Astyanax mexicanus: one gene and its partners. The protein of the gene in region 4 interacts with the protein of the main gene of each other region in a biochemical or structural test. Links are inferred from orthologs where the notes say so. Each region holds a gene or a part of one and is shown on either strand. Other genes may lie near its edges. The genes, in order: rgcc, cdca5, hmga1a and cdk1.

Region 1 (6,890 bases), on a different chromosome or scaffold from region 4:
TGTGACCTGAAAATGACACCCTATAATCTCCTGGATGTGCTCAAACCCACTAGGTTAGTTCTGGCTGTCCTCATATATCTGTGTGCTCCCTAAGCTCTCTCTGCACAGCTCCTTGTGGCTCTTTAACACTGACAGAGTCTGATCCACACTTAGAACTAACTGCTGGAAGCCTGCCGGAATGCTCCCAATAACACTACCTGTTCAGACAAAGCTGTGAACATCAGCTGCTGTTGTTCCAGGCATTACACACCATCTCAAGAACCTGACATAATCTGTACTAGCACCACATGGCATCAGTCCAACTCTGAAATGGAGACTGACATGTCTGAATATGTTGTCAAAGAAGAAAGCAAAATGAGCACAAGCCCATGCCTTAAGTAAACATCAAGAGCTGAGCTTCATTCTAAAGGGAGTGGTTGTGAGGGCCTTCACTTGACCTCCATATACCTGCTTTAAGATAGATCACTGAGAAGGAAATCTGCCACGTGAGTGCTGCCTGCAGATACTAACCCTGGCTCTCTAAAGAGCATTTCATAATCTGGTTTCAGTTGAAAATGCCTATGGGTGGGCGATACATCAATGCTTGGCAAAACAAATATTTCTTTCTTTCTTTTTTTTTTTGATTGCACCAGCAGAACAGTTACAAGAATTTATTTTAAAATGATAATCATAAATAACATTAAGGGCTGTACTGTAGTCTCCTAAGCACAGTGACCATTATTTTTATTATTATTATTATTATTATTATTATTATTACATTGTGATTATATGGCAACCCAGCCAATGTTCTCATGTAGAGCTAACAAGAGTGGAATGTGGGCTTGGTATGTTCCAAGTGGGCACAGCTCACATGGGTCTCATCTAGGTCCCATGTGCCATGTACAACCCAGTTGAGGCCCATGTCTAACTCCAACTCGTCCTATTACTGACCCTGTTGGGGCCCCATCACTGACATCCAAATGTGGGGCCTAAATGGAACCCATGGACAAACATGTCTCCATTACAAGCATGTCAAACATGCTTCTTCAGAATCAGCATAGTTTGCTTATTTCCCTCCTTTAACAGAAATAGCTTACATAACCTGTTAACTAACAGGCGACTTACCTAAAGGTAAGTCTTTATGTATAATACATTTCTCAATCTTGGTTCTGGAGGCCCACTGTCCTGCACTTTTTAGTGCTTTCCCTGCTCCCAACACGTGATCCAACTAATCATCTCATTAACAGCCCATAATTAAGTTAAAGCGGGTGTGTTAAAGGTGGAAAAGCACTAAAATGTGTCAGTCAAGTCAGTGAGTCTCAACTATGAGTGTTGGAAAAAACTGGCTTGTAAGTATTGCCCCAGAAAACAGAGGGCGTTATAAGAACGTTTAGCAACGTTTTGATTAGAATTTTTCAAATTTTGAAACTTTGAAACTTTAAAAGTAACATTTCCACAACTAAAAGTTTGAAACTTTGACACACGTGGCAATTAAAGGCATTCAATAAATAAAATGTCCTAAGGACATCCATAAAGCTTGAAAGAATAAAGGTACTAAAATTACTAACTGCAACGTTCAGAAAAGGTCAGTGTAACGTTTTGCTGACTGTATCAAGCTAAGTTTGAAAATAGAAAACTGGGTATAAGTCTTTATCATTTTTTTTCCATTCAGTTGAGTGAAGAAGAAATGGGGTTACAAATAGAATTTCATATAATATAGTTTTATTTCTATTCCCCCCCCCCCCCCCCCCCCCCATTTTCTCACCAATTTACACAGCCAATTACCCAACCCACTCATTAGGACTCCCCCTATCACTAGTGATGCCTCAACACCAGGAGGGTAAAGACTAGCATATGCCTCCTCTGATACATGTGAAGTCAGCCACCACCTCTTTTAGAACTGCTGCTGATGCAGCATTGCTAAGTAGCATCACAGCGCTCGGAGGAAAGCGCAGCGACTCGGTTCTGATACATCAGCTCACAGACGCCTTGTGCTGAGCGACATCACCCTTTGGAGTGATGTGGGGAAAGGTAGCTGATGCAAATAGAATTTCAAGAAAAATGAAAAGGCAAATCTTCTCTCAATTTTCAGATTTCTCAGATTTTGTGTCTTGTAACACAAATCTGATGTTATAACCCAACTTGCAAAATGCAAAAATGGAAAAATCAGAAAATAAAGAAAATAAATTTTCCTGAAATTACAATTGTGAGGGGCTGAAAAAACTAAAATTGGAAAAATGGATAACCACTTACTTCTTGTACACTGCACTACATTAAAAAATGAGTTTTTACTTCTCGAACAGTCAGAAGATTATATTAATAAGCGTTAAGTTACACTGACCAGAAAACGTTCTACCAACTAAAAATGTGTTAGCTGGGTAGGTTAGTGAATATGAAGCACAACAGCAAGAGCAGCAGCAGCTTTCTAAGCCTCCTCACAGTCTCCAGTACAGTTAGTTCTTTTTTACTGCTAATCTTATCAGTGATATCACTGCATGTATAATCCTCTCAGGATGAGTGTGTGACTATCTGTGAGTAACTCAGCAGCACTCACTCTCTGAGTCGCTGATGCCGCTGTCACTGACGCTGGCGCTGCTCCTCCTCTTCATGGTCTTGAGGTGCTCGTCGTATCTGAAGTGTCTCTTCTCGATGGGGGAGGTGAAGTCCTCGATAACGGCGTCGAACTCGCACAGCACGGCGTTCAGGTCATCGTCCTCCTCCAGAAAGGCTGGAAACAACAGCAAGAACAAAGTTTAACACTTCAGTATACCTTAAACTGAACTAAATATATGTATGATAAACTAAACCTGTACAGGTCCTAAAGCTCCACCACGAGGGTGGAGAAGTGCCCTACAGCTCACTACTGAACTCACACTTGCTCTGAGACTTCATCTTTGGAGACTTCATGCTGGGTCAGGTAGCTGCTGTCTATCCCAGAACTATTCCAAAATAATGATCCAAATCAGTAAAAGTGTCGCTCGTGCCCCCGCGCGCTCTCCGCTCTGAGCTCTATACGCACTCCTGCTGCAGTAAAAGCAGCCTGAGCGCTTTTAAATCTTCCCCGCCTCCCGCCGGTGGGCGTGGCCCGAGGCGGAGGCGTGGGGAACGTGAGGTAAACTTCAGCCCCGCAGCCGGTTTTAGCTCCTTCTTCACACAGCGTGCCGTCATTTCTCCTCTGAGTGTGAGTAAACTGAATAAACATGCAGCCCGTAACATACAGTTCCTCTTTATTTATAATCAGGAGTCCACCCTGCCCTCACATACCTTACACATTAACACGAGGTACAGTCATCATCATTCACACAGAGGAAATAAATATATTTATATGTATTTGTGTATTAATAGACAAATATATACACATATTTTATTCCCTGTCTTTATTTTAAAACTTTTGACTTATGTAAACATTGTGTAATATTGTTAGAATTTCTTTGCTACTGTGTTTGCCTTTTCTATACCTTGGGCTACAGTAATATGTGAAATTTGCCCTGGGATTAATAGTGTCTTATAAAATACATTTGGACACATCTTAAATTCAGTGCCTTGTAAACATCTGCATAGTAGATTAATACTTAAGTCATCCAAACTATAAAACAAAACATTTGGATTTATTTACTAAACAAAAACGTGTTAAACAAACCAGAACCTGTTTTAAATTTTAGATTTTTTGGCTGAATTTTCTACGTCATCTTTATGAGGTAGAGCCACCTGGAAAGGCTTTCAGTTAACAGCTGTGCTGAACTGGTCAAAAGTAAATTACTTGAATTTCTTGCCTTTTAATGTGTTTGAGAGCATCAGTTATAACTTAGTCATGGTATACGCAGTGAATAGCCTGATTGAGTAATGTTCTAATCCATATTATAGCAAGAATTACTCAACTAAGTAAAAAAATATATATAAGAATGAAGGTCAGTTTATCCAAAAAATTTCAAGGACTTTGAAATATCCTCAAGTGCAGTCGCAAAGACTATTAAAAGCTTTACGATAAAACTGGCTCTCATCAGCACCGCCTCAGAAAGGTTTACTACATGATTCTTTGTGTGTTCCTTCATAACAAACATTGAATGAGAAGGTATATAATCTAAATGTATGCCCATATATATTTTTTCATTTAAGGGAGGGAGGGACATAAGTTTTAAGTGGGAACTCCGGGACCACATTAACTCAATAACATTTATATAAAAAATGAGAAAAAATATATTTTTTAGTCCATACTAAAGGGCTGTTCATTCGTTATTTTTTCCAACAGTGTGGGTTAATCTGAATAGAAAACCAATATAATAAAATATATTGCTGTTCTACAGACTCTGTTTAGCCTACAGCGCGAGAAGCCTCTCCTCTATAATAGTGAGTTTGTAGGGACACCTGCTGGTTTGAAACAGTAACTGCATTTATGATAGAAATACGTTTTAGAATGCAATAGGTTCTCAAGACTTCTTGCATCTTCATGGTAAATTAAGCTTTTTTTTCTTTTCGTGTGAAGTTGTTTTTTGGAAATATACAATATGTTTTTAACTGACTTTTTTTCAATCATTTTATGTAAGGATATGGGTGGCTGTACAGCCATTCTTTTTTAAAGCTACCCAAGCATACTTAAGAGCAATTATTTGTATATACATATAAATAAAAATATATACAATTTGTTAACTCTGTAGTTTAGCTATAGCAAAAGTATATACATATGCCTAGATCATTTCTGTTTGTATTTGTACCCTGTGCTCAATTAGTAGGAGTATTTAAAGGGCTAATTTCTGTATTTTCTCTACCCCTACTGAGGTGTGAAATCCAGCACGTTTAGCATTTTACTACACCTACATTGCCTGGTTTAGCACATAGACAACTGGCAAAACACAGAGTGTGTTTGCATCTGCACTTTCCTGATGGCTTTCAAAGCTGCTGTGCGAGATAATTACATACACAGTGTCACACAAAGTGACAAATATAACACCTCCTGTACGGAGAACAGGGCTTTGTTTAGTTCACAGGCCCAAAATGTGGATTAATTATGTCAATATTATTGACATATGTACTGTATTACATGCTATCATAAACTGTATTTACTTGCATCATAATGAATGTTTCAACTTAACATCTGTCATGTAACACACATAACATATGAAACTATAAAAATATGCTAATAAAAATATATATTGGTTGTACATATAAAATGCAATCCAACAGTTGCTTTCCCAAGTAGTTTAAACAAATGAGAAATAATGAATCATGTCCATGTTTATTTTGACATTTCATCAGTCACATACACATTTATGACACATTCTTTACCATTATTGAACATAAGGGAGTGTTAAATTCCAAGGACTTCCAGAAAAGTGACAGACAAAATGCATCATCAATACAAGCTATTGTCTTCCACCAGTATGGTCCACATTCACATTTACAGGAACGGTATCTTAATGGATTTTGTTGTTTTGCTGTATTAAAAATGGCTCCAACATCACACACTCAATACTAAGAAGTATCAATCCTCTACAAGCTGAGTGGGAGGATGCTACATATTTTGTTTCCATGCTCATAATAAAGTGCCTTGTTATAAACATCCCTCATTATTTTACTTAAACTGAATTTGATAAACAGTTTAAAACATACGACAGTGTTGTTTATATTGATCAATAGCAACACTCATGCTTTTCTCAGCAACTGATAATTATTGTAAATCACATTTTATCCAATTCTTGTTCACATCAGACATTTGAGGCCGTATACAATACTAAGCCTGTGCAAATAGAGCAAGTGTTCCAAATTGGCTGTAAACATGCAACTGCTGCCAGACCGTTTAGCTTGTCTCCTGTGTTCTTTTGAAATTATATAGTATAACCATGTAAGAAATGTATGACACATACATATCTTGTATGAATACTGTATGAGTCTGGAGTATTTGATATGAATGAATTTAAACTATTTACAGTAAGTGATCAAATGATCCAATCAACACTCTCAGCTGGTTCCTTTTTAACTCCTAAAACTAAGTATAGTATTTGATTTCAAAATCATTCTGTTTTATGTAAACATTTAAACTGGCCTTAGAGAGTGAATGAAAATGAAAACACAAAGGATATGTGCAGTCCTTCTGATCAGCAATATTCCCCATGCTTTTGAACATTTGAAATTAATGCCATCTTTAGTGTCTTCTCAGTTACTTAGTGATTCATAAGTATTTAGGCCACATTAGCTCAGCAGAAACAGGACTCCTCCTTCTCACTATCTGAATTCATTGCAACACCTTCACTTGGCTGTTTCAGTCTCAGGGGCTTGTGATTCTTTAGCTTGTAGGCCAAGGTGAGAAAGATGGCATCCACATGCTCTTTCTCAGCAGGGTCCTTAGCAGATGTCTCGAAAAGGGGGAAATTGTAGCTGTCAGCTAGACGCTGCGCCAACGAGGTGGGAACCTCTCCTCTTCCTAGGTCACATTTGTTCCCCACCAAGATACGGGGCACCACAGGAGGGACGGCATGGTGGCTGCATTCTTCAATCCACTCTGGCAGACTCTCAAAGGAAGCGAGATTGGTCACATCATACACAAAGATGACAGCATGGACATTGCGGTAGTAGTGTTCCACCATACTCTTTCGAAATCTCTCCTGCCCTGCTGTGTCCCAGATCTGCAACTGTAAAAAAAAAGGAAAGAAATATTTAATTTCTTATCATCCACAAAAAAAAACAGTATTGCTGCAGCTCTGGGTTTGCAATCATAAAGCTTCTTAGCACAAACACTGGTGGAGAATCAGATTAATCTCTTTTGTATGATTTCTGATAGGAACAGGAGTTTCATCAAATCATTAAAGCTTAGCAGAGGGCTTCAATCATGGACCTGATCCTGTCTGTTAAGTGATCATACATGAAAGATTCTAAATCAGTGCTACAAATTGGAGATAATTTAGAAATGTGGTCAA
Region 2 (7,331 bases), on a different chromosome or scaffold from region 4:
ATCTTCTTTCCACATTTTCCTTGATAGGCTCTGATGGTACCTGTGACCAAAAAAAAGCATGGTGTGAAGAAATATATGTATAATGAATGAAAACAAGAACAGTGCTTATTTATCAATGTGCTTATTTGTAGTTACCTGAGTTTTCCTGGGTGCAATTTTTCGTACAGTGATGGAGCGTTTAACAGAAACGCGTGGAACCTGAAGAAGCAAAGAGGCATATAAATCATTAATAACATAATATGCCTAAAGGTTTGTAGACACATAGTCATATGCTTTAAAAGCCTATCCTCTCCTGGAAAGGCTTTAAACTAGGTGTTAAAATCTTTTCTGCAATATTTTATTGCAATTAGCCACATTCACATCAGGTACTGATGATGTGATACCTGTCCAGCGCAACCCACCGCATTTATATAAAAAGAGTATACACACTGTGTGCAACTGAATGCTTGTTTAAGCAACTTGCGCATCTCAAAGTAGCGAAGTTTTCTAATCAGTGGTATACGAATGCTTTTGTGCATCTGGACCTGAGCATGTATACCAAACCACATACGATTCTTAATGTACACAACACAAATGACTGTACTTTACAGAAATTATAAAGAAAGAGACTGGCACATGGATAAAATATGAATTCTTGTTACTCTAAACTTGGTATGTACTGATAAAGCCCAAAGTTGTAAAGTTGGTGGAAAAGTGAACAGATTTGCCTATTAGGGCTTTTGTTTACTTCTAATGATGAAGCACTACTTTTAAATACTACTTCTTGTAGTAGTGTGCTGTTTTCGATGCACCTTTGTTTTTTTAACATATTATTCAAAAAAGGTTTTACAGTAGGTCAGATTCCTGTAAAATAATGTAATCTAGCTTTATATTTAGAGAATAGTTTAAACAGTGAACATCCAGCAAAATTCTCACCTCATCTTTGGGGGGCAGGTTTTCTTCATTCCCCGACAGCCTTGCTGATCTCCTTCGCTGTTGGCTGCCTTCATCTGTTTCTAAGAACACAATGCACAACTAAACTTACCCAAACAAAAATGAAATGTCATAATAATTTGATTCAGCAACTCTCAAAAAGATTTTCAAAAGTCAGTTAGAGTGTTACGTTAAATTCTAAGAGTGTATTATGAACTATTTCATGATATTTTAGCAATATAATGAAGAGGACATCGCTAATGAGGACATTGCAACATAACACTAGTTCAACTACTGCCAAAAAATGTACATTTTATTATGTGCACTTTATTTATGAAAGGTCCCAGCAAACACACTTAGACTGTGACAACCTATTGTTTGGTGCCTAAAACACTGTCAGACTGTACATTTATTAATAGCAATGCACTAAATATTTGGAAGTAAATGCCTTTAAAGTTTGCCAACCAAAACTATTAATTTAAATATCTGTCAGAATGGAAGCAATTAGACTGGAATCTCATTTAGTTCTGTATTTCTTATTATACTTTTACTTAACTTCTCAAAATTGGTACTTCTGCGATTGCTTTGTCTTAACAATGCATTGCTGATTAGGTTATTTTGTTTTTACAACTGTAATTTTGTTCTCGTCTGGCCAAGAAATTAATTTGGTTCAGCCTAACTTTATATTAACTATTAATTATTATTAACTATTAATTATTAACTAAATTAGGTTGTGACAACATTTCTCAACAAACATAAACAGAACTACCTTTTAACAACATTGTAAAACCATTAAAAGAAAGTAGACAATGCTTAAATTAGTTGTATGTTTGTTGGAGAGCTTTCAGGGCTTATACTGTCTCGAATAAACAGTTTAACATGTATAAACAATACATTGCTTTGTGAAAATGAGTTTTTGTATTGCTTAATATAGGGATGTGCCATATAATTTTGTACGCAATTATATCGATTTTATACCCTGAAATATAGTGCCATATCCAACCTTTTATCACATCAGGTTACTACTTTTTGCTGTTTTCAGCAAAAGAAAAATAAACACTGTTTTCAATCCCTGTTATATATCTACTAGAGACAGATTATAACTGTGCAGCATCATTTATTTTACTTTAATCCTGGATATTTGAAGTGCTGATATCTAAATTAGGTGTTTTAGGGGTGATATTTTGTGCAACAATATAATTTCCTTTTTATTTGCCGCAGTAGTGTAGAGTATTGTCACACAAATGCCATGCAATATCATGATATTGTCTTAAGGGCCATATCGCCCACCCCTAGTTTAATATTTACACTAATATGTAAGGCTCCCTTTGTTGCACTTTTAAGAGAGAGTAGAACTGAAATGGTCTAATGTTAATGTTAACCTAGCCAGCTGGCTAACTGTTATGTAAGAGCTTGAGTTCAGAGAAGGAGCAGTCCACAAAAAGCACACATTGGTTCCATTAATTTCTATTAGATAATCATTAGCTAGCTAACTAAGACACTCGAACCTATTATTAAATTAACATATTTTATCAGAATCAAACAGGACTATAACATATAAGTTAACCGAGCTAACAGTTAGTTAATTACCACTAGTTAGTTTCTTAACGCTAGTAAGGTTAGCTAACGTTAGCTAACTACCCAAACAGTAACTTAAGCTAACGTTAGCTTATGACAACACAGCGTTAAAATAACTATAATATTTAGCTAGCCTGGCTAAGCAAATGAAATAGGAGTTGGCCAACCTAGTTAAATAACTTAGCTAGTTATTGTATTAGTTATGACTCTGCAGTACAGAAATAAAGAGTTATCGTGGGCTGGTTCAGTTCAGTCACTCACCTCTGCTTTTTATGAGGCCAGTCGACGCTGACCGCGGTGTCCTGCTGCTCATTTTTAAAGTTACTCAAAAAAGTCAAAAAGTAGCGAGCCTGCTGCCCACAGAAAACGCGAACACATAAAGAAATATGTGAACTCCAAAATTCCGCGCTCGGTTCAACTAAATTCGAGATATTTCTCTCACTAGAGAAACGCGAGCTGCCCGGCGAGCTTTCAAAATTACCCGCCTTCCTAACAGAAATGGCGGAACAACAGAGGGACTCGATTTGTGAATGAATCGTTTGAGTCGGTTCATTTGAACATTTTAATTTCAAGCTGATTCGTAACGTCCCCTTCAGTTCGGTTACACGTGAAGGATTACAATGATATAATAATAATTTTACTGTTTTACTTACACAAAAAAACCCACAAATATCATGAAATGCGACACTGTAACATTACAAAAATGCGTGAGTTTAACCAAATCCGACGTGAGATTCATTAAAACGGACAAAAGAATCGGTTCGTTGTAGGAATCGAACTACTCATCTACCAAGCTCGTTTAAAACATTAATTAATTATTAAATATATAGTGAGTGATTTTTTTATTTATTAAAAAACAATAGAAACGTCAGATAATGCGTTCCTGACTTATAATAAAATATTATTTCTAAAATATATTTAGAAATAAATGTAACACAAGTTAAAAATAGCGTCAGTTCAACCTTTAATCCGGTAGGCGGCGCTGTTTGTAACGTTGTCGTTTAGAAAAAGTGGCTGTGTCCCAATAATTGAATAAGTAGTGTGCTTTGTTCGACGTTCTCTGATCTGTAGCTCATGGTCCCGTTTAATATAATGGCATAGCTGGTGGGGATGTGAATTTCCAGGTTTGTAGATCAGGCAAAACTAAGAAGAGCAGGCAGTAAAGACGCTGTACCAAACAATTTAAAATAGACGCTCACGAGTTATTATCAAATTTCGCCCCCTATTTTAAGAAATACTAAGTTATATATTTTTAAACCTTTTTCGACTTTGCATCCATTGGACATGTTATGTTTTCTACTTTCTTATGTATTTTTTCACTTCACACAGATTAAGACCTATTGTCCACCAGAACAGACATGTATTATTGAAAACAAACAGATGATTAGCCCGCCCACTGCATTGGAAAACTAAAAATCTGCTCACTAAGGTAAAACATGGTAGCATCCCTGCTAATGTGGCAGGTTATGAGTTTTTTATTGCTTTGTAATTTGTAATATATATATATATATATATATATATATATATATATATATATATATATATATATACATATATATATATATATATATAATAATAATAAAAATAGCATTGTTGATCAAATGACTGCACTGCAATAAACAGACAAAATACAAATATTATGTTTAATTTCTATTTTTTTATGTATTTATTTACTGAATTCTGTTTTTGAGTACATTACAGACATAAAGAGCATTTAGATATCTTATTCATCATTAGAACAGGTTAGGTCTTAGAGTGTTGAAGAAAAAGTATCTGAAAACATGTAATTTCTTTTAAGTAAGCAAATAACACCATTTGGTATAGAATCACATACTCTTTTAAAATCAGTAATTGAACTAGTTCCGAATTTGTTGCAGAATTCAGATCAGAGTAAGACATACAACTGTGATTGGCTAGAAGACTTTAAACAAGAGCACACAGAAGTGAAGGCTTTACAGGAGTATTGGGACACAGCCCATGTGCAGTGTGATGTCATTACTCTGCGACTGTAGCGGAAGAGACGTGGCAGAAAAATGCTTCCCGATAAATGCATCACAAATATGAGTTAGATTAGCTGGACCAGGACATTTTTCACAGTTCTGAGCTTCAGTTTAAAGACACGGAGCTTGACTGAACCCGCGCTGTCTCGGTAAGTTTAGTAATGCCTCGTATTCGTCCCTGATTTTACTCTAACGGGGTTTTGACAGCTGGGGTTAAACGCCCCACTCTAAACACAGCTAACAGGCTAACTTAGCCAACTAGAGAGACAGGTAACCAAGCGATCTAATATGCGATAACAAGACACTGAAAAATCATACAGCTTAATATTTCTTACCCACAGCGTTAAAGCTAGCTAAACAACATACCTACCTATATAACCTTGACACAGGTTTATTTACTTTGTTATTTTAGGTGATGTATCCCCCCCTGCTCCATACATAGGGTACGTCTACTTAGGGCGTGGAACAGCTGATTCTGAAACCAACTATTTGGGAGTAACTTAATATACCTACTAAACTAGCTTGCTAATTAACATTTGATCACACTGAGGCCACTAATTTGTTCTGTACTTTTAAAAGAAAAGGATGGGTGTGTTTCTAACCTAGCTAGTTGATGTGGTTATATGGCTATATGTCAGTGTATTGTCTTATTACTGTTTTTCCTTATTTATTTTTTTTAGTTTGATAAAAGCCCACTTTATAAAACATTAGGTTACAGTCCAGTTGGCCTTCGTTTAAAGTAATTTAATGTAATAAAATATTAAACATCAATCTATGTTTTTTATCTATCTGTTTTTATATCTGTCTGTCTGTCTACCTATTTATCACCTATTTATTTATTTATCTTTCTATCTGATCAGTTATTTAGTATCTCAGATGTATTAAACTCTACTAAAGCCTGAGTAGAATAATCAATCACTGTGCTAATCAGTTATTTATGTCAGTTTCCTATATGACGTCTGACAGACATAATTAGGCATGTTTGTGTCTTTATTTTCATGCAACAGTATGTACTGTAGAAAAATGCATAGGTTGTATATGGTGATAATGTAAGGGTACAGGCCAGTTGTCTCTGATCCCTTTCTATGGCCTGAAGGTATTACTTAAATTTGAAAGAATGTTTCCGTAATAATCAAACTTGGCTCAAATGTGCAGCCACCAACTTTCTATGTAGTGTACAACTATTTGGGGCATTGATGCACTGACATTTGTTTACACTAATTTCATGTGTTTGTGTACAGTTCGACAGGCAGACCATGGGTCTGTGTAAGTGCCCGAAGAGGAAGGTTACAAACCTCTTCTGCTTTGAACATCGGGTCAATGTTTGTGAGCACTGCCTTGTATCCAATCACAGTAAGGTCTGTAGACTGATTATTGTGTATACAGATCTCACATGTTGGCTGTCCGCCTTGTTCACCTTCAAATGTTGACTGTGCTGTTCTGTTCCGCTTCTGTGCAGTGTATAGTACAATCCTACCTGCAGTGGCTCCAGGACAGCGATTACAATCCCAACTGCAGTTTGTGTAATCAACCTCTTATTTCCCAGGACACTGTGAGGTTGGTGTGCTATGGTGAGTCAGTCCTTTACATTATATTTCATGGCTAAATCAGCATGTGCATGCCGTGGCTAGATGAATAATACTGCTTAGCAGCAATGGCTGGTTATAATACTGTGTAAGGGTGTTAAAGATAACTCCTTAAATACAAAGTCGCATCACATGTGAGCTGGGGGCCTTTCTCAGTTAGAGGAATGGAATGATGGTTGATTGGTTGGACATGATGCAGCTTTTTGCACCCAGTTGAGGAAATCAGCTATACAGTAGGTTTGTCACGATAAAAAGTTTGTTTGGAGAATATATTTTTCCAGAAAAGATTATGATAAACAATAGTATTGCCATTTTAAGCCAATTTATGCCACAGATATAATGATGCTATAACAGCGTTATAATGCAATTAGACCATTTTAAAGAGCAACAGACTTTTCATTATGAAGAACATTCAGCCATCAGAATTTAAATATTTTTAAAAGTATTCTAAAAAAATAAAATAATAAATAAAATCAGCTCATTAAATTAATGGGTTCTCCTTAAAAAAACATATTGGAGAAAGCAAAGGTTCAGCAAAAATCCATGTCACAACCATGTATTAAATTATATGTTGTATGTATGTATGTACCTTAAAATGCATACAAACATATAAAGCGCATTTGTCTGGAATGTCTGTTAGAAACTCCAGCTGTTCATGTAGAGCAGTGGTATCAAAATCAAAATGTTAGATAAGCGGCTATGTTACATACAGTACAAAATCAGATGGACTGGACCTGTTTTTGTTGCATCTGCTTTGTTCAAGAAAAGATTTCCGACAGCATGAAATTCTTAGAAGTTGAGTCTCTGCTTGCCCTTTGCTGGCAAAAGAATCAGGTCTTTGGCCTTAATCTGGCACTTTATTTGGCATGGTAACTTTGTTAATGGAATGGGATGATTGATTGATTTAGATTTTTTTTTCTTTATGTAAAATTACACAACACTGAACAGCAGTCAGCATATATATATATATATATATATATATATATATATATATATATATATATATATATATTACACAACACTGAACAGCAGTCAACATATATATATATATATATATATATATATATATATATATATATATATATAATTTTTTTTTTTTTTTTTTATAATTTTATTTCTAATTTTTCCCATTTTTCTCCCCAATTTACACGGCCAATTACCCAACCCACTCATTAGGACTCCCCCTATCACTAGTAATGCCACAACACACCAGGAGGGTGAAGACTAGCACATGTTTCCTCCGATACATGTGAAG
Region 3 (8,011 bases), on a different chromosome or scaffold from region 4:
AGTAATGTCTGATAAAAAAATATATAATAATAAACACAAAAACATAATCATTAACTTTGTGCATTAAATGCACCGCCTAAAATGTAACACATTTACTGTAAATTTGCTGTAGGTAAAACAATTTAAGAATTTAAGGACCTTGTTAAAACCCTTTTTAATAAAATGTAATTGATTACACAAGATTACTCATTTTAATGACTCATGCATTAAATACACAAATTACTGAGTATTTATAAAACTACAGGAGCCCTAGTGCTGTAAATGTAGTACTGCAGCCTGTTACATATGTGTCACTATATCTTTCTCTATTTAGTCCAGCACATGTTTACAGGTGATGCTTGCTGGTTTTAAAACAGTTTATTTTGTATAGAAATAAACTATATCATTTTAAGATCAGTGCAACTCTAAAAGTTAAAACCTAAAAATGCTTTGTGCATTCTACTGAATGTCCTTTTACTACAAGATACGACAATTTCATATATTTCACTGTATTCATTCAAGTACGAGCTGCTATGAATTGTGTGTACTTTAAAAAGTAAGTTGAAGTACTTACTTTTTTGCCATATTGTTTAGTATTGATTCTTACCAGTAAAAAGGAAATGAGTCATGCCATTTCCTCACATGCAATGACACCTATTGTGAAGAACACTCTGTGCATTAGCTCAAAACCTCAGCATTTGCAGAGCATGTAGGTTTTACTGGTTTACCTCGTGCCCCAACTTTTAATCAAGTAGGTAGTATAATCTGTTTAACGTCTGTTTAATTCACATTTGGATACCAAGAATTGTAATACTTTAACTTGTTTGGCATAAGCATCATTCTACATCAAATTTAGCATTATAAAATGTTATTAATAACTACTGTTATTTTGTGAGAATTTCCTTTTTTGCATACGCTTGTACCACACTTAGTTATCTAGAATTAAGTATCTTGCATTACTGCACATTACCTGTGGGTGCTTCCTTGGTCTTCCACGGCCTCTCTTCTCTGCTCCATCCTTATCTTTAGGAGACATGGCGTCCTTGGCGTCACTCATGTTGACTTACTTTGGGAAAGAGAAATAAGAAGAAATCAATGCATGCACACCTTCAGTTTTTTAGTCCTGCAGCTTTAAAACTGCATGCACACTGCAGTCTAGAACCCTAAACCAAGGAAAGAAATTTAAATAGCTGGCAAGCAAAATCTCTTGTTTATGCAACTTCTCCCAAAGTGAGCAGTCTGATTACTAGATGCAAAAGCAAAATAAATAATAATAAAAAAAAAAAATCACAATTTGTGCATGCATGTAAGTAGCTACCTACACATATTTAATGTATAACAAATCATGCATCAATAAAATTATTTATTTTTCGCATGCATCAAAACCCTTCAAATCTCAATTTAATTCATACTATGCTATAGTATACTACACTAATAGTGTTAAAGCAAAACAAAAGCCTGTATAATCTAGTCTACACGTTTTAAAACAAGTTAGCTCACACTAGCTGGCTAAATCGAGGCAATGCTGATTACTAGCTACAGATACCCCTGTGGCTGCAACAGCATTGAAATTGAAAGCACAACATTTGCATGAATTTAAAAAGAAAGGAACTAATAAAAATAGCTTAAACTACATACACTCCAAAAATAAGTTTATCGTGCATCAATGAAGAGTGCTTCACGTGCTTCAAACTCTTAACTCGACACAAAAGCTAAAGAATAAGCAGGCTACAACTTCTATACACATATTTAAAATGCTTAAACTTGAAAAAAATAAAAATGCACGCACTATAGCTGGCTACATAACTACAAAATTCTCAATGAACCATGCATCGATAATACCTTATCTTACGTGCTTCAAAGCCCTTATTATCTCGTGTTAATCTCGAGAGCTACCATTGCTGGAATAAAGCTGATAACATCCCCATTTTAAGCACAAGTTAGCTACAGCCTTAGCCAATTCCAGAATCCAAAAAAAAGCAGTTTACTCGCTACGGATGCCCGCGTGGCTCCAACAGCACAAAAATAAAGCGAAATTACAACATATGCATGTATTTATATCACTACACAGACAGAATAAATAAGCAGGCGTGCATTATGAAATATTATAATAAAATAAAAAATTAAAAGCATGCACGAGAACAAAAATAAGTAAATACATGCAAATGCTTTAGTTAGTGCATAGGCGTGCGTGAATGCAAGCATGCATGTATGCATAAGCCCAGACTGGCGCCAGATTGCATGCATTTGAGCGCCAAAAACACGGTGGCGCACAAACAACAAAAGGCACCCTAAACCACCCTGTTTTTTGTTGCTTTTTTGGAAGAACGTGCGAATGCAGCACGATTAATCGATTAAATTAATTTAATCGCGCTCGAATCGACTTAAAAAGCTGGTTTAAGTGCTTTAATCGTGCTTTAACACCGTGCCAAAGGCGGTTTTTTGTATTAGCAGCAGCAGCACGTTGCATTGAACAATGAAGCACGAGCCACACACTAAAGGCTTTAGCTATAGCTCGTTATGAAGCTACTGAGCATGCGTGGTGCTAAGCTAGCGCCAAACTAGCTAGCCCTGCACGTAAATACACTCGATTTTAGACGGATTTACAGCGAATTTACTGCAAATTCACAATGAATCACGCATCAGAAAAATTGTTAACACGTTTTACAACGCGTACCTCGACTCAAACTCGAAGAAGGAGCTGAAATAAAGCAGATAATCGCCGCTAAAGTCGCTGTAAAGAACGGTCGCATTTTTTTAAAGCACGAGTTAACCTGGTTAAACCCCCCCTGTGCTTTATATGGATAGTAAATCAGAATATAAAAGGGTAAAATAAGGTTGTGAACAGGAGATAAAGCAGAATTTAGGAAGTTTAAATGAGTAAATAAAGGAAGTACCTGGTCTGGAGCTAAGCAGTGCGGCGGTGAGAAGGCTGAGGGCAGTCCCAGGCTGGGTGCGTGCTGAGCGGTGAGCCCGGTGTGCGGGAGTGAGGCGCTGCTGAAGGCCCGGCTGTCTCTCAGGGCATTTTAAACAGGCTTCCTCACGGGCCACAGCGAGGTGGGCGGGGTTATATATGGTAATTAAGCAGGGGACTATACACAAAAGATCACCTTAACATCATTTACACAATATTATTCAATATTACATAATATAAGGGTGTATTTTCAGAGTTAAGACAATTCAGAAGTGGAAAGTAACTTATTACATTTACTCATTTACTCACATTACTGTAATTGAGTAGATTTTATGAGTAATTTGTCATTTTTAAAGTAGTTCTTTTACTCAAGTACATTTTGACACAAGTAATTTACTTCGCTACATTGGAAAACTCTCCCCGTTAAACTGAGTAAAAAATAAAATGCTGGGGAAAAAAAAAAAACAAATTGTCTGAATTTAAAAAAAAAAGTTTTCCCATCAATATGTGCTTCTTTACGGCACTGCGCATGCGTCGACCAACATTTTTGTTTGGTTTTTTGTATTTTTTTATGTTTTTCATAATAATTCCTGAAGTTTTTATTGGGAACATTAAACATTAATCTGCTTGGATGTTAAAAACAAAACAAAACATGTAAATCATTTTAAAAACAGTTAAAGCATAGCAATGAAAAGTTAAACAAATAATAATGAACTGTAAATCTATAAAAATACAGTTAATAGTCACCTATATGACCATAACTTTTTAACAAGTAAAGAAAAAAATGGATCATAGAAACCTATGCCACTTGTTCTTGAAAATGTTTTGTAGGGTGGTCTGAACGAATACTGGTCCAAATTATTTAATTTAATATTTATTTAATTTATGATTTGTTGATTTTTTTTACATCAAATAAATAAAAGTAACTATGTAACTTTTACTCAAAGTACATTTTAAATTGATTATTTTTTTTACTTTTACTCGAGTAGATTTTTAGATGGGTACTTTTACTTTTACTTTTATTTTTAGCAAAGTGAAGGTACTTTTACTTAATTAGAATTTTTCAGTACTTTTTCCACCTTTTTCACAGTGATTTTTTTATTACATTTATTTATTTTCAAAATTTAGGCCTCTCTCCCAAAAAAATGGTAAATTGTGTTTGTGAAAAGTTTTTTTTTCTTTTTTATTGAAGTTTAAAAGAGTTACAGTGATAAACCGAAAAAGAATGAAAGCAGGAAAAACAACAACATATAAACAACTATCTCAAAGGCAAGTAAACATTCCAGAGATCCGCCACAAGATTTTCTCAAATTATTATTATTATTATTATTATTATTATTATTATTATTATTATTATTATTATTATTATATTTTAATATTTTTTTCAACACATTTCTTTTTTTCCTTAAATCAAATCAAATCAAATTGTAATGCTTTTAGGGATCTACCTTTTTTTTATTCAATCAGGGGCCCATTGACGTTTTAGGATCAGAGTTTATAAAGGAGTTTATAAATAAGATGGCAGTGTGATGGTCAAAAGTTAGTTATCATTGTATACCATCAGTGGTATGACAATACTATTAAACACTTATTACTCAGGTAGAAGTATATTAGTATATTCTAGGGTTTTAAAATGTTTCTGTAGAATTTGAAGTATCAACTCGAGTTTTTACTCAAGGAAAATTAAATAAAATAAAAAATAAACTGCAATAAAAAAAGAAGAAATAAAGTGGGTCAAAGGTTAGTTCCACAAAGGAAGTATTTATTTTTCATAATTATCACTGTATCAGTGGTATAAAAATGTTTTATTAAAATTACAATACTGTTAAACACTTTTGAACTCTCTAATTTTTGGCTCGATAGATAATTTGAACACAAACTTTCACTGCGTCACAAATTCTTAATGAATGGACCAAAGGTAGAAGCTGAAGCTTTACTACTAAACTACTTAAAGTATAAAAGTGGTGTCAGAGGAAAAGGAAGAAGAAGCTAAAGCATCAACTTAAGCTTTTACTCTTTAATTAAAAAGAAAAGTACTGGTTTAAAAACTAATTAAAGTATAAAAATAAAAGTAATATAAGGAAAAATGGCATTAAAAACAAAAAGAAGAAATAAACATTCTAAAAATGACAATATTATTAAACACTTTTTTGCAGTTTATTTTTGTATAACATTTACATACATTTTTAGTTTGCTAATGCTACATAATGTGAACACATATACTGCCCCTTACACTGTGTCACAATTTCCTAATAAATAGACCAAAGTTGTGAGAAGTATTTCCATTTATTACTCAGGTAGAAGTTTAAGGAAAAATGCCATTAAATGCCATTAAAAATCAAAATGAGGAAATAAACTGTGATTAAATAACAAGGAGAAAAATAATTATCATTGTATCAGTGGTATAAAAAAGTTGGTATTCCTAAAATGACAAAACTATTAAACACTTATCGCTATTATTTCTCTCTATTTACCCATTCATTACTCTGTATAGGTAGAAGTATAGATACTATGGTTTAATAAAATACTTCTGTAGCTGTTGAAGTTTCAACTCAAGCTTTTTACTCTTTAAGTAAAAGTTTAAATGTACTGATGTTAAAACTGATTTAAATATGAAAGTAAAAGTAATATAAGAGGGGAAAATGCCATTAAAAATCAAAAAGAGGAAATAAACTGATTTTTAAAAGCAAAAAAAAAAGAAACAAATGTTGGTCAAAAGTTAATTTATTATAATTATCATTGTATTAGTGGTATAATTCATTTGAATCCTTAAAATTACATTACAGGGCAAATCAATGTTTCCTTTACTACATAATTTGAACACACAAACTGTCCCTTACACTGCCTCACAATTTCTTAATGGATCAATAGCAGAGAAATAAATTCTGCACCTAACATATGAGTTTACGCATAGCGTCCATTCCCTTGCCCTATACTCTACTCAACTTAAGTTGCTATGGCTGTTTACGATCCAATCAGCAACATAATAATATCATATATACGTAAGATTTTTAGAAACGTTAAATAAGCAAAATTAAAATTTTATATATAGTCCAATATAAATTTGGGCCTTCTAGAATTATGCTATATAATAATGTATAGAAAAACATGATTCTTCGATAGAACATACTATTGCTCAAGTCTTATCCAAGATACTAGTACCTGTTTTAGTAACTGTTACTACACTCTTAACAAACAATAGCAGTGTCACAGGTTTCATGCTGTAAAATGATTAGACTTTAGCTCCTGCCACAATAAAGCTTTGTGTTTAAGTCATATATTATTCTTTTGATGTGTTCGGCACTCTGAGAGTATAAAAAAAGTGATTCAGACTTTTTATGTAACACTTTAAACTTTAATCTACTGGCATAACTCTAAACAATTTGATACTCCCTAAAACGGAACCCTGTGGAACTCCATATATAAAACCTTAAACTAAACGGTTACCTAATAGTCCTAAAAAAGCTCCTGCAGAAGGATTATTAACTCCTATCATAAAGCTACGGTTCAAGGGGTAAAGTCCATTCAGATTCAACACTCAGTGCTGTACAGATAACATAATAAACTAGTTTGTGTTCCAACAGTAAAGCAAAGCAAACTCACAAAGGTTACTCACACAAAAAGATTGTACCACTCAATTTATTACTTTCAGGAACTAAACTTTTACTTTATTTCCAAGTATTTTTAACATTTATATTAATCTGTTTATTGTTCATTGAATTACTATTCAGTCTAACAGCATAATGTGCCTAAGAATATAAGAGGAAAAGATCAAAATAAAGAGGAAATAAAGAGAAATAAGCATTAATCATCTTAAAATATCAATAAAGGTACTCAAAACCACCACTTACTGTCAGTATTTCAAATGAATGACTTTGTCTCTTAAAAAACTAAAATTATATCAATATAATTGCTTGGTTTTAGACTCACCTATCCTATATATATAAGTATTTTTATATATTCATTTATTATAATTGTGTTTTAGGTCATTTAGCTGATGCTCCATAGCGACAAGGTTATTCCTATTACAGAAATGGGAAAATGTAGTGTTAGGAGTCTTGCCCAAGGGTTCTTATTGATGTAGCACAGTGTACTAAAATGTGAAGGACATCTATTTTTATTTTAAATATATAGATTTTGTCCCTTTATCAGTGATATACTGGATGCAATAAGCAGTAAGAGAAATATCATCAAAAAGTGAAAAAGTTTTTTGGTTTCCTTTTTGTATTGGAGGTTTTTGTTAACACATTAAACTCTGTATGATGGCCCCACTTCAGTTCTTCATTTCATAATTAACATTCATTTTTATACGCCCTAAAATTGAACCCTGTGGGTCTTTTTTTATTTTAAGGGAATGGGCTTTCATTGTTTGTTTTTGCAAACAAATACAAAGGACAAAAAATATGAAGGACAATTGTTGGTTTTAAAGTATATACAGTACCAGTCAAAAGTTTGGACACACCTCTTCTTCTCATTCAATTCAGTGTTTTTTTTTTTTTTTTTCAATTTTTCGATTTTCAATTTTTTTTTAAACAAACCAGAATCTGTTTTATACTTTAAATTCTTCTAAGAATTTTAATCTCAGTATCTTCATGAGGGAGAGTCACATGGTATAGTTTTCTCAGCATCTTGAAGGAAGGAGTTCCTGGAGGTGCTGAACAATAGTTGCTGCTCCAGCTCATCCCAATTAAATCACCTCAAATCATCTAAATCTCAGTTCATCAAGTTTAGATCAGGGGATTAATGTGGAGGAATAACACTTTTTTTACTGTTTACTACATAATTCTATATGTGTCCCTTAATCGTTTTCATATATTTAATATTAATCTACAATGTAGAAAATAAATTAAATAAAGGAAAAAGGTATATACAATCTTTTGACTGGTATTGTAGGTTTGTTCCCGTCGTCATTAAAGTAGTGGGTGTAGTAAATTAGTAAGAACACCATCATTAAACAGTGTAAAAGTGATTTTAGAAGTGTTTTTGGGTCAGAACGTTTTGTTAACCCATTAAACTCTTTATGAAAATCAGTTCTTCAATCTATAAAACATATAAATGCACTACTATCATAATTTACAACCATTTGAAACACCCTAAAATAGAACCCTGTGGGACTCC
Region 4 (7,127 bases):
GGTCTCTATAACTCCAATGGGCAGTAACAAATGAACAATTATTTACTTGAGGAAGAAGGGAGAGGACAAAAAAAACTTAAAAATCACCAGTTTAAATATGTGTAAACCATGTGATCTACCAGATTTCCTTAAGCTTTAAATAGTGAATACTTAAATATAAATAAATTAATCACTGTTCGATTGGGAAAATTAAATAATAATTCAGTGTCAATCAAAACAATTAGCTGTATTAAATTTACACAATATTATGTGATTAATCATATGTCATTATCATATTTTTAAGCAGGTACTACGCTGTAAACTTGCTTTTCAAACTAGAATATTGTAAGACAAAATATAAACATGTTTGCAGGTCTATATTAGGGTACTATGACACAGTTATTGTCATGAACTTTTGCTTTTTGGAAAACACCGTGGATAATGCCACTAAATAAACCTGATTGTTGTAACTCCTGTTTAATTGGATATAGTGCAGCAAACCTTTACACAAATAAGTGTACAATTTATGCAAATAAATATATCAATATGTCACACTATATCAGATACTGTAAACAAGTCAATAAACTGCACTTGTTTAAATAAAAAAAAATTAAAGTGATATTTTATACATAATGTTTTATACTATAAGTAAAAGAATTGTATTTTTTAATGCAATCACAACAGTGGAGTGTAACACTTCTACCTAGAGGGATTAAATGGTTTAAACAAGAGTGAACTTTATTAACAAATTCCTAAATATAAAGGAATAATTAATAATCAGTACTGTTTGACAAAATTATACATATAGCAAAACAATATACTTTGATTATTTTTTTTTCATGTTCAGTTTTGAGCCAACAAAACACAAAAAAAAAAATTACCTAAATAAAAGTGTAGTATAAGCATATGAGAACACATCATAGATATACAAGTGTACACACCGTACGACGTTAGGGTGCTGAAGCTCTTTGAGCAGAGAGATTTCTCGGACGGCTGTGCTCGGGACCCCCTCCTCCTCGCTCTCCAGGCGGATCTTCTTCAGGGCCACCACCTGACCCGTGGACTTGTGACGACCTTTATACACAACTCCATATGTACCTAAGACAGGACAACACACACAGGACAATTCTTACCACCAATAAGACTAACGTACGTAATATAGCATTACTGCTGGTTACAATATGATCACACACTGAATACAGCTCTGGAAAAAGAGACCACTTCAGTTTCTGAACCAGTTTATCTGATTTTGCTATTTAAAAGTATATGTTTCAGTAAAATGAAAATTGTTTTAACATTTCTGCAAAATCCCCAAAAAAAATTAATTTAGAGCATTTATTTCCAGAAAATAGAAAAAAAAAAAGATGCAGAGCTTTCTGATCACAATTTTCATGCATCTTGGCACGTTCTCCTCCACTAGTCTTACACACTGCTTTTGGATAACTTTATGCCACTCCTGGAGCAGAAATTCAAGCAGTTTAGCTTGGTTTGATCATCAGTCTTCCTCTTGATTATATTCCAGAGGTTTTCAATTTGGTAGAATCTAAGAAACTAAGCATTTTTAAGCTGTCTCTTTTTCCAGAGCTGAATAATATAAATCAGAGTCAGGCTAGTTTCTGAAGATACTAATGCACAGTTATCACTCACCTTCTCCAATTTTCTCTATTTTCATGTAGTCTTCCATTTTTATCAGTTTTCTGTGGAGAGAAACACATTCAGTCTTTTAAAAATTTCTGCAGCTGTAGAATGTCATAAGGTTTGTAAAATTACAGTATAGACCAGTACAGTTTTTTTTTTTTTTAAAGACAACTGTATTTATGCACACAGACACACAAGACAATCAGATTCAGACGTACCGTGGCTTAAACTAAACGCAGTAAACAATTACATTTGCATTAAAAAGGATTTTATTGTTATTATTAAAAACATGAATAACTACACATATACTGACTGCATGATTTCAAACAAACATCCAATCTTGGTATTTATAAAAGCCATCAAAATGGGGTTTCATTTGCCTTTACACTGTAGTTTTCCTGCTTAAGTCCATTTGTGTTACAGTAGTTAACATTGCATTACAGAGCTTGGGCTACACATGTAATTAGCTAGTTACTTTATCCTGACATTTTATGTCAACATCTAAAAAAGGTGCATTTTATTCTATAAGATTTACCTGTATATATATATTTGTATCTATTATATATTCTGACTGCCTTTTGTTTTCTTGTTCAGGCTCAGTCGTGTTACAGTAGCTGCTGTTTCTGAACAGCCCTTCGGATAAAATGTTTATTATAACCACAATAGTTTAACTAAACAACAAAAACTTAACAGTTATTTTTTATTTTTTTGGCACACAGCCCAAACTGAGTCCCACTGTAGCTAATTACAGAACTTAACCTACACCATTTTAATGTCATATTAAGTACATAAAACCGTTTAACACACACTCATAAACCTACACACACACACCAGCCTGTGATAAACTGTCTTTCTAAGCTTGTTAACTAGTTAGTTATACATTTGATATTAATTATGTCAAAGAAGACTTCAGCAGAAATTAGGGCTTCATGGTTATACAGTCTCCTGTCACTGTCCTCCATAAGTCACCTAACCTAGGTTATCTAATTTAGATAAAAAGCTACACAAACTATTACTCGTTTTAATGATTTAGCTAATGTTTACTTAAAACAAAAAAACCAACTGTACTTACAGCAGATTTGACCGAGCTAAGCTAAGCTAACGCTAGGCAGACAGCTAGAGTTAAAGCTGAAGCGGATCTGACTACAGTTAGCACTGATGCTAACTCCTCCGCTTTTAACTGAACATTATTACGGACCAAATAAAACATTCGCAGAAAATAGCGCCCGAACACTCACCCGCGTCCTCTAAACACGCTGTCCGGCGGCAGAATAGTGTGTGAAAAAGAGTGAATGTGAGTGTGTGTAAAGGTGTGTGTATGTAAGAGTGAGGGTAAACTTGTCTGTTGGAGAATTCCTCCCGTTCAAACTGACCGCGCTGACGCAATTCAAAACGGACCAATCACAGCACACTGACAGATTTTAAACAGGCCAATCAGGTGGAGGAAGAGCTCCGGCGGGAGTGGTGTACTTTACAGCGCGACCGAAGGATATAATGTCACGAAATCCATACCTGAAAAAAAAAAAAAAAAAAAAAAAAAAAAAAAAAAAAAAAAATATATATATATATATATATATATATATATATATATATATATATATATATATATATATATATGTGTGTGTGTGTGTGTGTGTGTATATTGTAAAAATACACCAAAAAGGGTTGTGTAAATCATTAAAAAAGGAAAAAATGTTTATTAAAAAAAGAAGAAAATATATATTGTAAAATAAGCATATACAAAACATATATTAAACAAAAATAGGGAGGGGTGGTTGGAAAGAAGTCATTGGTTAAAAACTTAGCACTGGTCTGTAGCAATAAAAATAAACTGTAGTAAAGCAGTGCTGGAACATGTAACATGCAACATCTTTAGCTAAGCTTAACATACATTGGATTAGGTCTCAGTTGTTCAGGTAAAGTGAAACAATAAAGTCATTGCTAAGATAATTTTAAGATGACAAAATAATGAAAAAACAAATTTTTACGGGCCATACAGCACTGCTACTGGAAAGTTAAAAAAAGTGAACTGTTCTAAAACTGGTACATATATATGCATGACTCACACTAACAATATGACCCAATTAACACCCGACACCCGTTTTTTTTTTTTTTTTTTTTATCAGCACACTCTTAACTGGACATCCAGATATTTACCAATATGGGAAATATGTCTCAGTATGAGACTATAATATTGTGTGGCCTTGTAATTCCAGCACTAACATGGACACAGAATATGCCACAGATAACCAACTACATATAGGGTAAATAATAACTGTTATTTTTTTAATCTAACTATTCACTGTAAACATAGAACAAACATAGGGCACATTAAAACATAGGGGCAAACCTGCATTATGTATAGGCTTTCGCCAGCTATAAAACATTGACCCAGCCTCAGAGGACCACAAGACAGATTGCACTGGTCCCTTCCTTTAAGTGTATTAATTATGCATGTGTGTGTGTGTATCTAATGGATCATTAAGGGGTAGTGTTTGGACATTAGTGGTGCCTGAAATGTGCCCTCTAATCACTAATGTGGAGTTGTTTACAACATGAGGTATCGCCATACCTGTCAAGTCTCCCGTTTTGGCCGGGAAACTACCGTATTTTACTCCTCTTTCCCGCCGTCCTCCCGTATTAATATTTTCCCGTAAATTTCCCGTATTATATTAAAATTAAAAAAACTTTATTATTGAGGAGACAGGGCACTGACCGATCTGTGTCTCTTAACCAATCGTGGTGCCGGTTCAAGGAGAAAGTCTCGCCTTTCAGGAGAAACAGCCAATCAGCTTGCTGGTTTCGCGGAGCGCAGAGGTATATCAGATTCTGATAATCTAAATTTAGTGTGTAAGTGGTTCACATGTGGTTATTTTAGATTTCTTGTAAACCTGTCTTAAAATGTAAGGAATACTAAATCTTGGTTGGGCTGGTGGGACGACTTTAAGCGGACGGAGGAAAATATCCCTTATTTTTAAATATAAAACTTGACAGGTATGGGTATCGCGCGCCGCCACACGAGGCCACTGCAGCACGACTCATAAGTGTAGTGTAATTCTGTGGGCCACCAGTGGAGTCGCTGTTTCCTCTGTACAGCCTGTTTTCCAGACGGTCATGATCAGGCCATTATTGGGTAAAGGTAAACACACACACCAAAGGCGCTATGTTACAGGTACTGTTACTGTGACACTGTGTTATAGTAAAATTAGAAGACCCCTAACACAAAAGACAAACTGGCTGTCATTAAAAAATGTTCCTCCTAGCACAGCAGACTGTAGTGATATCACATTTTACTCCCATTAAAACAACTTTCTACTAATGTATTACACATTTTGCCTGTCAAAAACAATGATAGTCCTAGAAATATTATTTAAAAACAAATAAATAATCAGTGTTATTGTCATAAACCTCTGATAAAATGCTAAAATATTGCGGAAAAAGTGGACCATTTAACATTTCGCAGTTTTAACAAGACTTGTGTACAAGCCTGACTAAACCAAAACAATGCTTAAAATGTGAGGTTTACATTAGCATACTACTTTAGAAGACGAACATTACACATTACACACATTATGTACCCTTTTAAAAAAAGCAAGCAAAAATAAGTTTGGATAATGCTGGCTGCAAAACAGATGTGACCATGAAATACCTTAAAGGAGAAACCCACTGTAAAATTAACTTGTAGTGGTGTAATGGACATAATGGTGTTGTGAAACATGATAATGGCTATGAACGTTTGGCGAATAGCCCACCTCCATTCGTCCCCAGCATTCCAAAATACGGCGCCTATAGCTGATGCTCCCAATGCTAGTAATAGGGGCATAGTGTTGCCAATCAAATAAAGCGCTATATTTGCACCATTAAAGGGGCGCTAATCCACCTGAATTTAGATGGCAAGGTACTGTGAGTATAAACAGTCTTTTAAAATAAACTACCTGTGCACTTTCAAAGTGTGGAGCTACATTGAGCATGTTATTGGTTTTAAAATAGGGATTTCTTTTTATCACTAGCATTGTAAGCCTGTTGGGAGCATTAGCTAAAAGCACTGCATTTCAGAATGCTGGGGGCAAAAGGAGGAGGGCTGTTCAACAAAAGTTTGTACTAGTTATCATGTTTCACTACACCACAAATGATTTTTCCCTTAACCCTTGTGTGGGGTTCATATTTTTGTTACTCGTTTACTTTGTTACTTGTATTTAATTCAGCAAAATTAAGCAATTTTTACATTAAAATGCTTTACACATGCTTGCTTCACCTAAATTGCAAGCAATATAAACAGCTTACATGGTTAATATTTGCCCTTTACCTTTCTTATGTTACATTTCTTTTAAAAAAGTGCTACTCTTTTTTTTATTAGTTTTTTAATAAAATGTAAAAGAAAATGAATTTAACTCAAGATATGAGTAGAAAATTTGTTTAGTTTCAAATTTACAAATGAAGCAATGTTTATTAGCCCTTGGCCAAATATACTGTATGTAATATAAATGGTTGGGGAGGGGGGTGTACAGTGTGTGATTATCGAAAATGTGTTTTGATATATGTTTTTCACAAAAAATGAGCCAATGCGTTAGAAAAATGAGTTAGAAAAAATATATTTTAGTATCATTTGATGAAACATGAAAACAGGTCCCACAGACCCGAACACCACACAAGGGTTAAGTGTGGCACTTATCACAAATAAACCTTTATATAAATACCTTTATATTTTAGGTAAGTGACGGGCAGAGAATATGATCCTGATGCATAATAAGTTTCAGGCCAAGTGAAGCTGAAGAAACTTATTCTAGTTTTAGTCTGTTTCACCTCAGACAGTCCAGCAGGTACATTCTGACTACATTTAAATGGAAGAGGGGGGACTGGGGAATTTTTGGGTATTTGCTTTTTGGCTTTAGTTGACCTGCATACAGACACAATAGAGGCACTGGAGCGCAGCAGGATTTTATAATTGCAGAGAAATCATTCCCTTCATACAGGAACAAAAGCTTTCATTCAGACCCAGACCCAGAGGAACTGAGTTTAATTAAACACACCCTCACTCCAGCATCCCAAATACATTTATATGCAGATTTACTGTGCTCTAATTGGCTGAGGGGACCATCATGTACTGATGAATAAAGGAGCCTGTTAGATAAAAGCAACAATAACTTAAAATAAAAATGCTCTGGATTCATATGGATTGTAAATAATAATAAATTAATTAAAGCCAATAGATGAGTAATGTATGTCTTTATATATCATGGTTTACAACACAACACAAAAGTTAGATATGTTAGAGTTATCATGACTTTGATTGCAAACAGTATGAACCCAAGATATTTTATGTTTTATCTGCTCAACTTCAACTTTATGTGTTATTAAACATCCATTCCTGCATTTCAGGCCTCAACACTTTCCAAAAAGGCAATGCCAAAGCATTTCCCACTTTGTAATGTTACTGTTCCTTCTTACAACACTTTTTCTACTGAGTATACCAATAAATTAAGTCTACCCTGGATTTATACGGTCTGCCA

The links.
Region 1: of the proteins of cdk1 (region 4) and rgcc, one has a biochemical effect on the other in vitro, tested with the Homo sapiens proteins (2 studies listed by BioGRID and IntAct). The link is inferred for Astyanax mexicanus from reciprocal best matches to the Homo sapiens genes CDK1 and RGCC.
Region 2: of the proteins of cdk1 (region 4) and cdca5, one has a biochemical effect on the other in vitro, tested with the Homo sapiens proteins (2 studies listed by BioGRID). The link is inferred for Astyanax mexicanus from reciprocal best matches to the Homo sapiens genes CDK1 and CDCA5.
Region 3: of the proteins of cdk1 (region 4) and hmga1a, one has a biochemical effect on the other in vitro, tested with the Homo sapiens proteins (3 studies listed by BioGRID and IntAct). The link is inferred for Astyanax mexicanus from reciprocal best matches to the Homo sapiens genes CDK1 and HMGA1.

Annotation. Positions count from the first base shown.
Region 1 is NC_064418.1:27,770,688-27,777,577, reverse strand, and holds the start of rgcc (regulator of cell cycle RGCC), read right to left. Parts: upstream 3,018-6,890; 5' UTR 2,887-3,017; coding exon 2,853-2,886; intron 2,708-2,852; coding exon 2,534-2,707; intron 1-2,533. Other genes in the region: zgc:101559 (ras-related protein Rab-33B-like), read right to left, coding at 6,171-6,605. UniProt on the Homo sapiens protein: Modulates the activity of cell cycle-specific kinases. Enhances CDK1 activity. May contribute to the regulation of the cell cycle. May inhibit growth of glioma cells by promoting arrest of mitotic progression at the G2/M transition.
Region 2 is NC_064408.1:21,133,372-21,140,702, reverse strand, and holds the start of cdca5 (sororin), read right to left. Parts: upstream 3,001-7,331; 5' UTR 2,804-3,000; coding exon 2,752-2,803; intron 996-2,751; coding exon 916-995; intron 199-915; coding exon 136-198; intron 41-135; coding exon 1-40. Other genes in the region: zfpl1 (zinc finger protein-like 1), read left to right, coding at 5,747-5,848, 5,950-6,061. UniProt on the Homo sapiens protein: Regulator of sister chromatid cohesion in mitosis stabilizing cohesin complex association with chromatin. May antagonize the action of WAPL which stimulates cohesin dissociation from chromatin.
Region 3 is NC_064420.1:49,603,279-49,611,289, forward strand, and holds the start of hmga1a (high mobility group AT-hook 1a), read right to left. Parts: upstream 3,019-8,011; 5' UTR 2,877-3,018; intron 1,046-2,876; 5' UTR 1,037-1,045; coding exon 950-1,036; intron 1-949. UniProt on the Homo sapiens protein: HMG-I/Y bind preferentially to the minor groove of A+T rich regions in double-stranded DNA. It is suggested that these proteins could function in nucleosome phasing and in the 3'-end processing of mRNA transcripts.
Region 4 is NC_064421.1:44,353,954-44,361,080, reverse strand, and holds the start of cdk1 (cyclin-dependent kinase 1), read right to left. Parts: upstream 3,014-7,127; 5' UTR 2,856-3,013; intron 1,677-2,855; 5' UTR 1,664-1,676; coding exon 1,627-1,663; intron 1,078-1,626; coding exon 921-1,077; intron 1-920. UniProt on the Homo sapiens protein: Plays a key role in the control of the eukaryotic cell cycle by modulating the centrosome cycle as well as mitotic onset; promotes G2-M transition via association with multiple interphase cyclins.